Arabidopsis thaliana: one gene and its partner. The protein of the gene in region 1 interacts with the protein of each later gene in a pairwise test. Each region holds a gene or a part of one and is shown in the gene's direction. Other genes may lie near its edges.

Evidence for each region.
Region 2: the proteins of ER (region 1) and KT2 interact in a protein complementation assay, tested with the Arabidopsis thaliana proteins (one large-scale study listed by BioGRID).

Annotation. Positions count from the first base shown.
Region 1 is NC_003071.7:11,208,377-11,216,560, reverse strand, and holds the start of ER (Leucine-rich receptor-like protein kinase family protein), read left to right. Parts: upstream 1-1,898; 5' UTR 1,899-2,665; coding exon 2,666-2,744; intron 2,745-3,090; coding exon 3,091-3,229; intron 3,230-3,330; coding exon 3,331-3,402; intron 3,403-3,506; coding exon 3,507-3,578; intron 3,579-3,669; coding exon 3,670-3,741; intron 3,742-3,831; coding exon 3,832-3,903; intron 3,904-3,981; coding exon 3,982-4,053; intron 4,054-4,129; coding exon 4,130-4,201; intron 4,202-4,284; coding exon 4,285-4,356; intron 4,357-4,449; coding exon 4,450-4,518; intron 4,519-4,603; coding exon 4,604-4,675; intron 4,676-4,751; coding exon 4,752-4,823; intron 4,824-4,911; coding exon 4,912-4,983; intron 4,984-5,072; coding exon 5,073-5,144; intron 5,145-5,212; coding exon 5,213-5,284; intron 5,285-5,371; coding exon 5,372-5,443; intron 5,444-5,569; coding exon 5,570-5,641; intron 5,642-5,723; coding exon 5,724-5,795; intron 5,796-5,881; coding exon 5,882-5,953; intron 5,954-6,039; and 15 more. Other genes in the region: AT2G26340 (uncharacterized protein), read right to left, coding at 85-330, 402-460, 548-642, 732-802, 904-952, 1,079-1,307. UniProt on the Arabidopsis thaliana protein: Receptor kinase that, together with ERL1 and ERL2, regulates aerial architecture, including inflorescence (e.g. shoot apical meristem-originating organ shape, elongation of the internode and pedicels, and adaxial-abaxial polarity), and stomatal patterning (e.g. density and clustering), probably by tuning cell division and expansion.
Region 2 is NC_003071.7:16,928,687-16,935,311, forward strand, and holds KT2 (potassium transporter 2), read left to right. Parts: upstream 1-1,868; 5' UTR 1,869-2,478; exon of another isoform or gene 2,479-2,726; 5' UTR 2,727-2,758; coding exon 2,759-2,803; intron 2,804-2,885; coding exon 2,886-3,120; intron 3,121-3,207; coding exon 3,208-3,453; intron 3,454-3,544; coding exon 3,545-3,598; intron 3,599-3,683; coding exon 3,684-3,944; intron 3,945-4,024; coding exon 4,025-4,077; intron 4,078-4,160; coding exon 4,161-4,278; intron 4,279-4,380; coding exon 4,381-4,635; intron 4,636-4,712; coding exon 4,713-5,830; 3' UTR 5,831-5,983; downstream 5,984-6,625. Other genes in the region: ETG1 (E2F target protein 1 (ETG1)), read left to right, coding at 6,241-6,408. UniProt on the Arabidopsis thaliana protein: Low-affinity potassium transporter. Could mediate the potassium-dependent cell expansion in growing tissues.

The DNA of each region.
Region 1 (8,184 bases):
TGAATCAGAAGAGTTTTTGATACCAATGCTGTAAGATTAACAACTGTTTTTGGATAGTAATAGTCCTGTGACCTCCCCTCTCACAGTATGGACTGGAGCTGCTTTATCTCAGAGGATTCTAAATCATCACTTCCCGCATCTTCTTCAGATGCTGATCTGTAGACTTCCACCATAGCTTTCCCTTTATCAAGCACTTGAGAAGGAACTGTTTGTAGAAGACTGTCCAGTGCGGTTAACGCTGTTCCAAGCTGTGACTTCATCAATACAACAGTTGCATTTGAATCTTTCCTCGACGCACGTAGAAACAACGAATCCAGTTCTTCCAATGCTCTATAGAAGGAAAAGCCAACATAAATTACACACGCAAAGGTCATCATCATTCATTCAAACATTGTCGGTACCTTAAACATCGATCAACATCATCAGTGGCGGTTTTGGAGAAACCATCATCTGAAGCATACTGAGCAACCTGAAAGAGTTTGCATTACACATTTCATCATCAAACAGAAACCAAATGAGTGACATCAAGTGAGCTTTAAAAACTTACAGCTCGAATGTTTACACGAAGAGAGCTAGCAGGACCAGACCGCAATTGGCGTCTACACGCCTCAAATTCAGGTTTCTCCACATTCAAAAATCCCTCTCCAACATCATAAATAAACATGAGTGTAAGTTTTATATAGCAAGAGTTTTAAGAACAAATGTGTAACAAAAAAACAGAGAAATTTTACCAAGATCCTGGATTTGTAACTGAGCTAGAATCACTGGTGGTACATATGCTTCAAGTGGATCAAGTTTCTTCCTATTCAATAACTGGTTTTAAGTTTTAGATAATTCACCAAACATTTCAAAATCTAACTTCAGAATTCAAAGGAATAAGCATCGGAGACGATTTAATGTTACCTCTTGACGTATTTATCCAATTTATCCATTAAGCCACCAGCCATAGCATCTGATCATCATCATCAACATATAAATAACCAAATTTGAAATGAACAAAAGTCGAATTGGTGATATTGAAAATCGAGTTCGTGAAATTGAGAATCGGATTGGTGAATTTGAAGAGAGATGCGTGTACCGTTAGGGAGGAGGAGGAGACGGGAGAGAAAAAAGGAGACGGAGATAACTCGCCGGCTCTGTTTCCATGGCGGAGGTGATAATGTAGCTGCGCACGTTAGCTTTTTGTGGTTTGAGTTGGAGAACAGTGGGAGGCTCACGGTAGCGTGGAGTGACGACATTGGGGATAACACCAGAGGCGTCTTATCTCCGTTGGACAAATTATTATTATGGCTATGAACATTCAACATATAATTTAATTAGAAATTTGCGGATGAAAAAGAGGTAAACAATTGCAGAAATGGTTAAAAATATTAACGTTGTACAGCAAATGATAATAAAAAGTGTAACGTACAGTGTGTAAGGAATGGAAAAATAATAATTTGGGTTAAAATAAATATGTAGTTTTCTAACTATATAGTACTTTTTGAGAAAAGATAATATTATGTGTATTTTTATTGAAACAAATAAATGATTTAACAAAAAAAAAAAGAGAAGTTAAAATGAAAAGGAATTATTATTTTTTAAGTTCTTCCTTCTTTTGTTGGGCCTGTGACCCTTTTAGTTTTAGTCCACTTCGTTCTCAAAGCTTCAAAATATTAATTTTGTGACAAACCGACCGGAGCCAACCAAACCGGTTAACATCCTAAAACCAATCATATTTTATTAAGTTTTGTGTTGATGCTAAACCAAAAATCATTGGCATGCATATTTCTAAATTTAGTAATAAACAAAAACACTTAGAAATCACACGTTCACTATACTAAAAAACGTTGACAAAAACACAACAACTATACTAATAATTAAAGAAGAGAAAACTGAACCAAACTTTTTGTAAACTCCTGAATTTAAATTAGTAATTGAAGTAAGAAGATGAAGAAGAACATGTTAAGCAAACAAAAAAATTACACTAAAATCATATAAAAATACATAATTACAAAAGTACCCATAAGATGGATTTATTGATATGGGTCATCTGTGAAACAAGCCACAGAGAGACAAAGACTCGTAAGTATTGGGCAACGAAAGCGACCTCCTTTATTCACCACTGCCATTAACATGTTCTTCTTCTCCTTCTTCTTCTACATTTTATGACCGTTTTACCCTTCAAGAGAGAGAAACAAAATCACTCCCTCTCACTCACTCTATCTCTCTCTTCTGCAAAGCTTCAGAACTCTGGCAGAGAGATAAAAGATGATGGGGTTTTTAACTTTATCCTCCCCAAATAATTCTTCTTCCCTTCATCTCTCTCTCTTACACAACAGGTCCCTACATTTGTACAATCTCCTCTCTTTAAAGACTCTCTCTCTTTCTCTCTCCATCTCTATCTTACTCTGTATTTCTGTCGTCTGAGCACTCAATGAAACCACTGTAAATTTCCGCCAGAATTTGATGTGATGGAACGATAAAAATCATTTTTTCTCGGTTAAAGTAAAAAAACAAAAACAAATTTCTGTAGAAATCATAATAAAAGAAAGAAAAAAAATCTAATGTCGGTACATAATACGGTTCTCTTCTTCTTCTCTATCCTCTGTTTCTTCTTCATGGAGACTTGAAAGCTTTTAAAGTATATCTAAAAACGCAGTCGTTTTAAGACTGTGTGTGAGAAATGGCTCTGTTTAGAGATATTGTTCTTCTTGGGTTTCTCTTCTGCTTGAGCTTAGTAGCTACTGTGACTTCAGAGGAGGGTCAGTTATTATACTGATGCATGCTTCTTCAAGTTCAAGATTTTCGTCTTTTTGTTTTATATTAGTGAAAAAAACTTAAAGATGAGATTTTTATATGATTTTTGAAGTTTCATTTGGTGAAAATGAGATCTGGGTACTTGTTATTTTCTATTTTTGCTTTTTGTAATGGTTTTTTTTTACTTGGTGGGTCTTCTATAGAATCAAAAGAAGCTTTGAATAAATTAGGGTTTGAGTTTTATTTTGTTTTCTTGGAAGTTGAATTTTTAATCTTCTCAAGAACTGACAAATATTTTTTTTTGTTTTTGTGCGTGTGTGTTAATAAAATATCCTTAAAACAAAATTAAAGGAGCAACGTTGCTGGAGATTAAGAAGTCATTCAAAGATGTGAACAATGTTCTTTATGACTGGACAACTTCACCTTCTTCGGATTATTGTGTCTGGAGAGGTGTGTCTTGTGAAAATGTCACCTTCAATGTTGTTGCTCTGTAAGTTTCTTCATTCCTTTAGATTACTATTACAGTGGTTTTTGGTGTTCTTGTGGGAAAAAGTTGTAATTTGTTTTGTGTGTGTTTTCTATGTTTTGTAGTAATTTGTCAGATTTGAATCTTGATGGAGAAATCTCACCTGCTATTGGAGATCTCAAGAGTCTCTTGTCAATGTAACTGTTTCAACATTCACTGTAGCATGAAATAAAGTATCTTACTTTAATTCTATTCCACTCTCTGAGTTGTGACTTTTGTCTTCTGTTTTTTTCTAATGTAGTGATCTGCGAGGTAATCGCTTGTCTGGACAAATCCCTGATGAGATTGGTGACTGTTCTTCTTTGCAAAACTTGTAAGAACAGTGATTGGTGTTATTCTACCATTAAACTTTTGTTCATAGAGGTTTTATTTGATGAAGTGTGTTCATGTTGTTTTTTATTCAGAGACTTATCCTTCAATGAATTAAGTGGTGACATACCGTTTTCGATTTCGAAGTTGAAGCAACTTGAGCAGCTGTAAGTAGCTAGTTATTCTGCTACTAGTCTTCATATGTCATTGCTAAAAATATACTCACCATGTGGAATATGGATTTTTACTTTGTCCAGGATTCTGAAGAATAACCAATTGATAGGACCGATCCCTTCAACACTTTCACAGATTCCAAACCTGAAAATTCTGTATGTTCCCCATGATTCTTACATGTCTTACTACTTTTAGCTATATAGGTGATCATACATGTGTAATTTCAATTGCAGGGACTTGGCACAGAATAAACTCAGTGGTGAGATACCAAGACTTATTTACTGGAATGAAGTTCTTCAGTATCTGTAAGTGTCAATGTTTTTTGAAGTCTGTCAATGTCTCTTCATTACCCGGTGATAATTGTTGTACTATGATGAGCAGTGGGTTGCGAGGAAACAACTTAGTCGGTAACATTTCTCCAGATTTGTGTCAACTGACTGGTCTTTGGTATTTGTGAGTCTTCTTGCACATCTGAATAGTATGATGAGTTCTTTTGTAAATATCAAATATCTGACTTTGTTTTGATATTGAATCAGTGACGTAAGAAACAACAGTTTGACTGGTAGTATACCTGAGACGATAGGAAATTGCACTGCCTTCCAGGTTTTGTATGTGCCTCTTTCTCTACTTCTAAACATCATTACTGTAATTTGGGTTACTTAAGAAAATCTACTTAACTGGTTTGCTTATTACGAACTCAGGGACTTGTCCTACAATCAGCTAACTGGTGAGATCCCTTTTGACATCGGCTTCCTGCAAGTTGCAACATTGTTAGTTCTCACCTCTACTAATCTTTTGCTTTAAATTTTGGCTAGCCTTTGTTTTCTTTTAAAGAAGATCATTTTCTTATCTTAGATCATTGCAAGGCAATCAACTCTCTGGGAAGATTCCATCAGTGATTGGTCTCATGCAAGCCCTTGCAGTCTTGTAAGTACTTTTCTTCTAATCAATGAAGCTACTTATAACATTTTCATGAACTTAGGTTATATGTTTTCTTTTACAGAGATCTAAGTGGCAACTTGTTGAGTGGATCTATTCCTCCGATTCTCGGAAATCTTACTTTCACCGAGAAATTGTAATTCTTTACCTGTTTGTTTTCAGTTTGGAGTCAAATGTCATACCATGTTAATGATAGTGATTTATCTTTTTGGCTTTATCTCTAGGTATTTGCACAGTAACAAGCTGACTGGTTCAATTCCACCTGAGCTTGGAAACATGTCAAAACTCCATTACCTGTATGACCAACCTTCTCTTCACTTCTCTTTTTGCATACAGTCACTACTAAGTTGTGTTTCCTTATCAACTATTTGTAAAATATTCATAGGGAACTCAATGATAATCATCTCACGGGTCATATACCACCAGAGCTTGGGAAGCTTACTGACTTGTTTGATCTGTAAGTAGTTCTTCCTATGCTTGACATGTTTTGATGTTCTTATGCTTATATGAACTATGTACATATAGGAATGTGGCCAACAATGATCTGGAAGGACCTATACCTGATCATCTGAGCTCTTGCACAAATCTAAACAGCTTGTATGTATCTCTTTCTCTGAAAACTTCTCACTTGAATGTTCAAGATTGGTGCTTTATATGATTTTGTGTCTCATTAATGTAATGTAGAAATGTTCATGGGAACAAGTTTAGTGGCACTATACCCCGAGCATTTCAAAAGCTAGAAAGTATGACTTACCTGTAAGTATCGACGCTGAGAATTTCTCTAATCTTATATAATATATAGTTCCACAGCGTTTGTTTTTTCGAATTTCAAGTCATTAACTACTGAGTTTTTGGTTGCCTTTGATTTATCGGTTCAACCAGTAATCTGTCCAGCAACAATATCAAAGGTCCAATCCCGGTTGAGCTATCTCGTATCGGTAACTTAGATACATTGTAAGTGTTTCTTGTTTTCTGTGAAGTATACATCATTATATGTGCCTTGTCTCACATTTATTAAATTTAATGACATTTGAAGGGATCTTTCCAACAACAAGATAAATGGAATCATTCCTTCTTCCCTTGGTGATTTGGAGCATCTTCTCAAGATGTGAGCATCCATAAGACCTCCAGTTTTATTGTTTATTTCTAGCAAAAGATGAAAATGGTTTGTGAACTCTTGCATTCTTGTTATAGGAACTTGAGTAGAAATCATATAACTGGTGTAGTTCCAGGCGACTTTGGAAATCTAAGAAGCATCATGGAAATGTAAGAAGTTAACTTCTATCTGCTTGGTTAGAGTTTTTTTCATTTATCTCAATTACTGTTCTGAATTTGTGTGTTTGTGGTTGCAGAGATCTTTCAAATAATGATATCTCTGGCCCAATTCCAGAAGAGCTTAACCAATTACAGAACATAATTTTGCTGTAAGCAATCTTCCTCTTATCCCTTCCAAGCTGTTAAGAAATTGTTTTTGTAGAATGAAACTAAAACTCTGTATACACAATAATGAGGTCACTATAGTGTGATCCAGGAACATGTATTGGGTTGGTGATCTATCTAATGTTGTGTTTCTTAAAATTGCTTGCAGGAGACTGGAAAATAATAACCTGACTGGTAATGTTGGTTCATTAGCCAACTGTCTCAGTCTCACTGTATTGTAAGTAGGCACCTTTGGTTCTGAAACATTTTTTGTCCCTCTTTGTGCATCTTTTGCTAAGAATATAACCCTGCAATCTTCACTAACTCTTATAGGAATGTATCTCATAACAACCTCGTAGGTGATATCCCTAAGAACAATAACTTCTCAAGATTTTCACCAGACAGGTATGGTAATTTAGCAGGTTTTGGTATTGTGCATTTTGTTTTGTTTGCTAATATCTATGTTTATGTTTTTGGATAAAGCTTCATTGGCAATCCTGGTCTTTGCGGTAGTTGGCTAAACTCACCGTGTCATGATTCTCGTCGAACTGTACGAGGTGATTACATTCTTCTAAAAGCTTCCATTCACAAAACCTAAGATAATTAAAGCTCATGTTTCTATCCATGTTTTGTCTGCAGTGTCAATCTCTAGAGCAGCTATTCTTGGAATAGCTATTGGGGGACTTGTGATCCTTCTCATGGTCTTAATAGCAGCTTGCCGACCGCATAATCCTCCTCCTTTTCTTGATGGATCACTTGACAAACCAGGTCTACTCTCCAAACCACTTTACGAATGTTCTTCACCTACAATGTAATCCAATAGTTAATCCTTAAATTTCCTGGTGACATCAGTAACTTATTCGACACCGAAGCTCGTCATCCTTCATATGAACATGGCACTCCACGTTTACGAGGATATCATGAGAATGACAGAGAATCTAAGTGAGAAGTATATCATTGGGCACGGAGCATCAAGCACTGTATACAAATGTGTTTTGAAGAATTGTAAACCGGTTGCGATTAAGCGGCTTTACTCTCACAACCCACAGTCAATGAAACAGTTTGAAACAGAACTCGAGATGCTAAGTAGCATCAAGCACAGAAATCTTGTGAGCCTACAAGCTTATTCCCTCTCTCACTTGGGGAGTCTTCTGTTCTATGACTATTTGGAAAATGGTAGCCTCTGGGATCTTCTTCATGGTAAGTCTCATCGCCAAACATAGAAAATTATTTGAATCTTCTGTGACATAACAACTTGCTTGTGTGTTTTGTAAAGGCCCTACGAAGAAAAAGACTCTTGATTGGGACACACGGCTTAAGATAGCATATGGTGCAGCACAAGGTTTAGCTTATCTACACCATGACTGTAGTCCAAGGATCATTCACAGAGACGTGAAGTCGTCCAACATTCTCTTGGACAAAGACTTAGAGGCTCGTTTGACAGATTTTGGAATAGCGAAAAGCTTGTGTGTGTCAAAGTCACATACTTCAACTTACGTGATGGGCACGATAGGTTACATAGACCCCGAGTATGCTCGCACTTCACGGCTCACTGAGAAATCCGATGTCTACAGTTATGGAATAGTCCTTCTTGAGTTGTTAACCCGAAGGAAAGCCGTTGATGACGAATCCAATCTCCACCATCTGGTTTGTTCTTTCTTGCCTATCTCTCTCAGCTGCTCTGTTTAGGTCAAGTCCGTAATCTTGTTTTCATTGATTCACTTACATCAGATAATGTCAAAGACGGGGAACAATGAAGTGATGGAAATGGCAGATCCAGACATCACATCGACGTGTAAAGATCTCGGTGTGGTGAAGAAAGTTTTCCAACTGGCACTCCTATGCACCAAAAGACAGCCGAATGATCGACCCACAATGCACCAGGTGACTCGTGTTCTCGGCAGTTTTATGCTATCGGAACAACCACCTGCTGCGACTGACACGTCAGCGACGCTGGCTGGTTCGTGCTACGTCGATGAGTATGCAAATCTCAAGACTCCTCATTCTGTCAATTGCTCTTCCATGAGTGCTTCTGATGCTCAACTGTTTCTTCGGTTTGGACAAGTTATTTCTCAGAA
Region 2 (6,625 bases), 5.7 Mb from region 1:
ATGAGTAAACACTAAATCACAGCATCCCATATCGCCAACTAAGAAACTCAATTATCTCCCAAGTAAATTTTACTTACCATCACCAATCTATCATCACTTGTTACCCATTTTACCAAGAAAAAACGAAAAGTTTCTTTCCCATAATATATATGCCGCCGATTGCCAAGAAAAACAAGATTTTCATTCCTAGATTGTGTTTGCGGGTAAACAATAAAAAGAAGAAGAAAATGGTCAATTGGTTAAGAAACTCTAATAAGTAAAAACAAAATGGTTTCGTGTAAGATCAATTCGAATTCATTTTTATTTTGGCAAAATTGCAAAAATTAATAAGAGTTGATAGTAGACGACAAACATTTTCTTGTACACTAATTACTGTAACAGTCACATTATTATAATGAAAGAGGGATTCAGCAATCCTAAAATATGATTTGTAATTTCATAATCATTAATTAAATCGCCCAATTTTGAACTTTTTAATCTTAAAACTTCGGAAAATGATTGGTCTATATTTGTGCCCAATATATATATATATATATATATATAAGTATAAATAATAAGTTCTATTCTTAAGAATCATTAGTATATCCTAAAACCTGCTTTTGGCAATCAAGAAAATAACTTGCAAAAAACCCATGGCGAACCTAATCTTCACTAAAACAGACTCCAGAAAAAGAGTGTTCCAAGCAAAATCTTGATGATATAAGAGACTCCAGAAAACAATCGTCTCTCTAGTGAGCTTCACATATCAACAGTGTATAAGTTTTTGACTAGCAAAAAACAAATATCGTTCACATTTGACTGATACATCATACACCAAACTGAAAAGACAGCATTCCCCAAATCACGTATAGAATCTTAAATCATATAAAATACATTTTGTTCTTTGCTTTGAAATATCAAATGTTAGTGTGATTTGTCGTCATGCAACGCATGCATATAATATTAATTTATTATTTGATTTGGTAATAAGTCTCTTTATACATGCATTGAATCCACCGACCAAGTCTACTATATGCTTTGAAAGTTTGAATTATATAATAATAGAAAAGATTGTTGTGAAGAGCAAGCTGAATCGATTTGGAGAATTGGATTCCGATCTGGTTTTATAATTGTTCGACTACAATAATGTCAAATGGGATAGCAAGAAAATAATGTATAAAGGTTGAAATTGCGCAACACCTAACAAAAGGGAGAGAAAGAAAACACCCCAAAAACAAAAAGGTAGAGGAAGAAACACATAAAAGAGGAGTGAAAGAGAAAGAAGCATAAAAAGAAAGGAATAGAAATAGAGCACCAATCAATGACTTCAAATTCAATTATTTCGAAACAAATTTTTAAATTTATAGATTACTAAAAATCAACAAACTTTTATAGAATAAATTTGTAAATCTATGATTCATTAGCTAAACAACTAATTTTTACACACTAAAACAATTCAGAGATGTGTACAAATAAAGACATGTGTTAAATAATAATAATTATTTGTAAAAAAATGAGATATAAAAAAGTAGATGCAACCAAATTTTTTAAAAAAAACCTTTAAAATGCCATAAAACCATTCTAAAAGTTTATAACTGTATATATAGATTTGTTATTAATTATTTTATATGTTGCTATTCATTTATTAAATATCATCTAGTTGTTCACCATAATCCATAATAGGGACAAAATCTTAAATACATTTCATATCAATTTTTTTCTTTCTTACAATCTGCCAAGTTAAAGAAATTCACAAATTATAAAAGAGAAATAATAAGGTAGTATTAAAAATTTAATACTAGTGACTATCAATAGATAGTAACAAATACTAATATAAGTATATATTAATTACGCGTTATATATACCTTTTAACAAAATATATTATTGTTGTTGACTGATACAGAGAGAAATAAAAAAAAAAACAGTTTCGATTTTTGTTATTGCAACAAAAAGTTTCGGAAAATAGAGAGAAAAGAGAGTGAGTGAGGTTGGTGATGACCAGATTTTGAGGCTTATCAATAGTACAAAGCTTGCAAAATCAATGGCGCAAATTCTGTTGGTAAGTATAAGAAAAAAAAGAAAAGCTTTTTCCTTTAGATGTCATGTAACTGTCGGGAGAGCACTCACGTGTTTCTGTCTCTTCACCTGTAAATATTCTCGCCACGTTTGCTCTCTTTCTTTTTTTCCCCGAGAAAACGCAAAGACAAAGACGTTTTTTTAATTTGGCTATAGCATGTGGAGGCTATGGGTTCTTATCTTGTATCGTCGTTCTTTGTCTTCAATATCTTTAATTCAATGATAAGCAGATCATCTCTTTCTTCACTCCTACACATCGATTCACGTCATCCACCCAGAAAAATTCATACTTCAATTAAAAATTCTGTAAGTGGAAAAAACACAGTTGGCAAAATGGGCAAAAGCTAATAATTGATTTATCTCCATTTATGGCTAAAAGCCTAACACTAGGCTCTACACTTTTCAAGTCTTTTCATTTTCTGGGTAATTGTTGTTCAATTTTAGAGATTTAGGGTTTTTGATTGTTCTTCTTTTTCTGGGTTTTATCTAAATTCGTGGATATGAGAATGGCATGTGCGTGAATGTGGCCTACTTTGTTTTCTTCCTTCTAATTTGGGAACAGAGTTTGGTTGTCCTATTTATTGTTACTTTGTAGGTTTCACTCTTTTCGACATTACTTTTCAATTGCTTCAGATTCATAAATCTATCTTCTTCTTTCTTTGGTTGTTCAGCTTTAGCGTGTTAGGCTGAACATTTAAGAACCATGGATCTCAATCTCGGAAAATGCTGTGGTTCTCGTTCTTCTAAGGTTTGTTGTCCATTTTCTTTTAGATTTGCTCAATTTTGGAATTTTGAGCTGAATAAAGATTGGAACTTTGACAATTATGCAGAAGGAATCATGGAGGTCGGTTTTGCTTCTTGCTTACCAGAGTCTTGGTGTTGTCTATGGAGACTTGAGTATCTCTCCGCTTTATGTCTTTAAGAGCACTTTTGCTGAGGACATTCAACATTCAGAGACCAATGAAGAGATCTACGGTGTTATGTCTTTTGTTTTCTGGACTTTAACTTTGGTTCCTTTGCTTAAGTATGTCTTCATTGTCCTCCGAGCTGATGATAACGGAGAAGGTGAGGGGAAGAGACACTTTCAGAGCAGAAAATCATCGAGAAACTTTATTTGCTTTGCTTATGAAGGTTTGTTACATTTGTTTTCAGGTGGAACTTTTGCTTTGTACTCATTGATCTGCCGTCATGTCAAAGTTAGCCTCCTCCCAAACCGACAAGTCTCTGATGAGGCACTGTCCACTTATAAGCTGGAGCATCCACCGGAGAAGAACCATGACTCGTGTGTGAAAAGATATCTGGAGAAACACAAGTGGTTACACACTGCTTTGCTGCTTCTTGTTCTTCTTGGGACTTGTATGGTTATTGGAGATGGACTTCTCACTCCAGCTATCTCCGGTATGTATGCTTCTGTGTTTGTAGACAGATATTCCAGTGTCCAATTGCTAGTTAAAAGAGTTTTCTAATCTTTTCTTTTTCTTGTATGTAGTTTTCTCTGCTGTGTCAGGTCTTGAGCTGAATATGTCTAAAGAACATCACCAATGTAAGTACACAAAGACTGGGTAGTGTTAGTTTTTGCTACTTGAGTTCTGATGAATGATGGCTTCCTTTGTTGTTCAAACGTGCAGATGCAGTAATTCCTATTACCTGCTTCATACTAGTCTGCCTTTTCTCGCTTCAGCATTTTGGGACACATCGTGTTGGGTTTGTTTTCGCGCCTATTGTCCTCACTTGGCTGCTCTGTATAAGTGGTATTGGCTTGTACAATATAATACAGTGGAATCCTCATATATACAAAGCTCTTTCTCCTACATACATGTTCATGTTCTTGAGAAAGACGAGAGTAAGCGGATGGATGTCTCTAGGCGGGATCTTGTTGTGCATAACTGGTGAGATATATAAGAAATCGATATTGTTAATGTCGCCATAAATAATGTCAGTAATCTAACTCGTTGAGTCTTTGTTTTAGGTGCTGAGGCCATGTTTGCTGATCTTGGTCACTTCAATTACGCAGCAATTCAGGTTAGTTTCTACTTTAGCTTGGATGATTTACTTATTGTTATATCGCCACAGGTTTCAATAAATCTTTGTTTTGTTTGCTGTAGATTGCGTTTACCTTCCTGGTTTATCCGGCTCTTATATTGGCATACATGGGGCAAGCTGCTTACTTATCCCGGCATCACCATTCTGCTCATGCAATTGGGTTTTACGTCTCTGTACCAAGTCAGTAATTTGCCTTACTTCAAGAACTCAATTTTTTTTTGGTGTTGATCATTGAAAACGTAATCTGATCTTTTGTTTATATAACTCCATGGTTTTGAACAGAATGTTTGCACTGGCCTGTGCTTGCTGTAGCAATTCTTGCTTCTGTTGTGGGAAGCCAAGCGATCATCAGTGGGACTTTCTCAATCATAAACCAGAGCCAGTCTCTCGGATGCTTCCCTCGAGTCAAAGTCATTCACACGTCCGATAAGATGCATGGTCAGATTTACATACCGGAGATTAACTGGATGCTCATGATTCTCTGCATCGCTGTTACTATCGGGTTTAGAGATGTCAAACACCTGGGAAATGCATCAGGTATGAGATTCTTTTATCAACTCAAGAATTTTGGATTCTTCGACTTTGAGATTATATTCCTTTGTGGTTGGTTGCAGGTTTGGCTGTAATGGCGGTTATGCTAGTGACAACATGTCTTACCTCATTAGTCATTGTTCTTTGCTGGCACAAGCCTCCAATTCTAGCGCTAGCGTTCCTTCTCTTTTTCGGTTCAATAGAACTTCTCTACTTCTCGGCCTCACTCACCAAATTTCGTGAAGGCGCTTGGCTTCCGATCCTCTTATCTCTAATATTCATGATCATCATGTTCGTTTGGCACTACACCACCATTAAGAAATACGAGTTTGATCTCCAGAATAAAGTCTCGCTTGAATGGCTTCTTGCATTGGGTCCAAGCCTCGGAATTTCTCGAGTTCCAGGTATCGGTTTAGTCTTCACGGATTTAACCTCTGGAATCCCCGCCAATTTCTCCCGGTTCGTCACCAACCTCCCTGCCTTCCACCGTGTTCTTGTCTTTGTCTGCGTGAAATCTGTCCCTGTCCCGTTCGTTCCACCTGCTGAGAGATACCTCGTGGGTCGTGTTGGTCCCGTTGACCACCGCTCTTACAGATGCATCGTTCGGTATGGATACCGTGACGTCCATCAAGACGTGGACTCATTCGAAACAGAGCTCGTAAGCAAGCTGGCGGATTTCATCCGTTACGATTGGCACAAAAGAACACAACAAGAAGACGACAACGCTCGTTCTGTCCAGTCCAACGAATCCTCAAGCGAGTCAAGACTAGCCGTGATCGGAACAGTAGCTTACGAGATCGAAGACAATCTCCAACCAGAGAGTGTCTCCATCGGATTCTCCACAGTCGAAAGCATGGAAGACGTCATACAAATGGCCGAACCAGCCCCAACCGCCACCATAAGACGGGTGAGGTTTGCGGTTGAGGAAAACAGTTACGAGGACGAAGGATCAACATCGTCAGCAGAAGCAGATGCGGAACTGAGAAGCGAGCTGAGGGATTTGCTGGCAGCGCAAGAAGCAGGAACTGCGTTTATATTGGGACATTCACATGTGAAAGCGAAACAAGGATCATCGGTGATGAAGAGATTAGCAGTTAATTTCGGTTATAATTTCTTGAGAAGGAACTGTAGAGGACCTGACGTGGCTCTTAAGGTTCCACCTGTTTCTCTTTTAGAAGTCGGCATGGTTTATGTTGTTTGACTTATGAAAAAACTAAATATATGAAAACCTAATTCCTCTGTTGTAAATTCGTCATGTTTAGCTTCATAGATCTCTGTTTCTGTGTTTGTGAGTCTGGGGTTTGACTTTTAACAAATCTTAAGACCAAGATGGTCAGAGGATCATATATGCCAAATGAATTAGTTTATTATACACATGAAACGACATCGTATGGAGAGGGGTCCAAAACGGTGCGTTGGAAGTTGGAGAATGGGCATGGATAATGGCGGGAATAACCTAGGAGATATGGCGGGAAAGGCCCAACTATACACACTTGACATTGCCCTTAATTCGTGTTTGAGCAAAGACTCAATCTTTCATCTCTAGATTCTTGGCGATTCTCGCTACATAGTACTTTGGTAAAGAGTGAAATCAAAGGTTGGTTTTGAGATATGGGAGGACCAGCTTACGATTGTCTGACCAACCCTTTAGGAGCCGTCCGATTCTCCTTCGTAAATGCTCTGTCTTCAGGCTACGATCCGGCTTCGTCTGTCGGAAAAGACTGGGGTGTCGTTGATTTGTTCCGTCACTACTTCTCCGACGAATCTGCTATCTCCCAGGTTTGCCCTAAAACCTTTACTCTGTTTCTATTTTTTTTTGGGTTTAGGGCAATTGAGTATGTTTTGATTAATTACTACCCAATTAGCATAATAGGTTGATTTTTTCGTGTACTTTGGCTCTGTTTCTAAGTAAATCAGCTTACTTTAGGTTTTAGTCTATCCATAGATTGGTTAATTTGGGTTTTTTCAAGGATCTGTTTTGAGATATTTTTCTTAA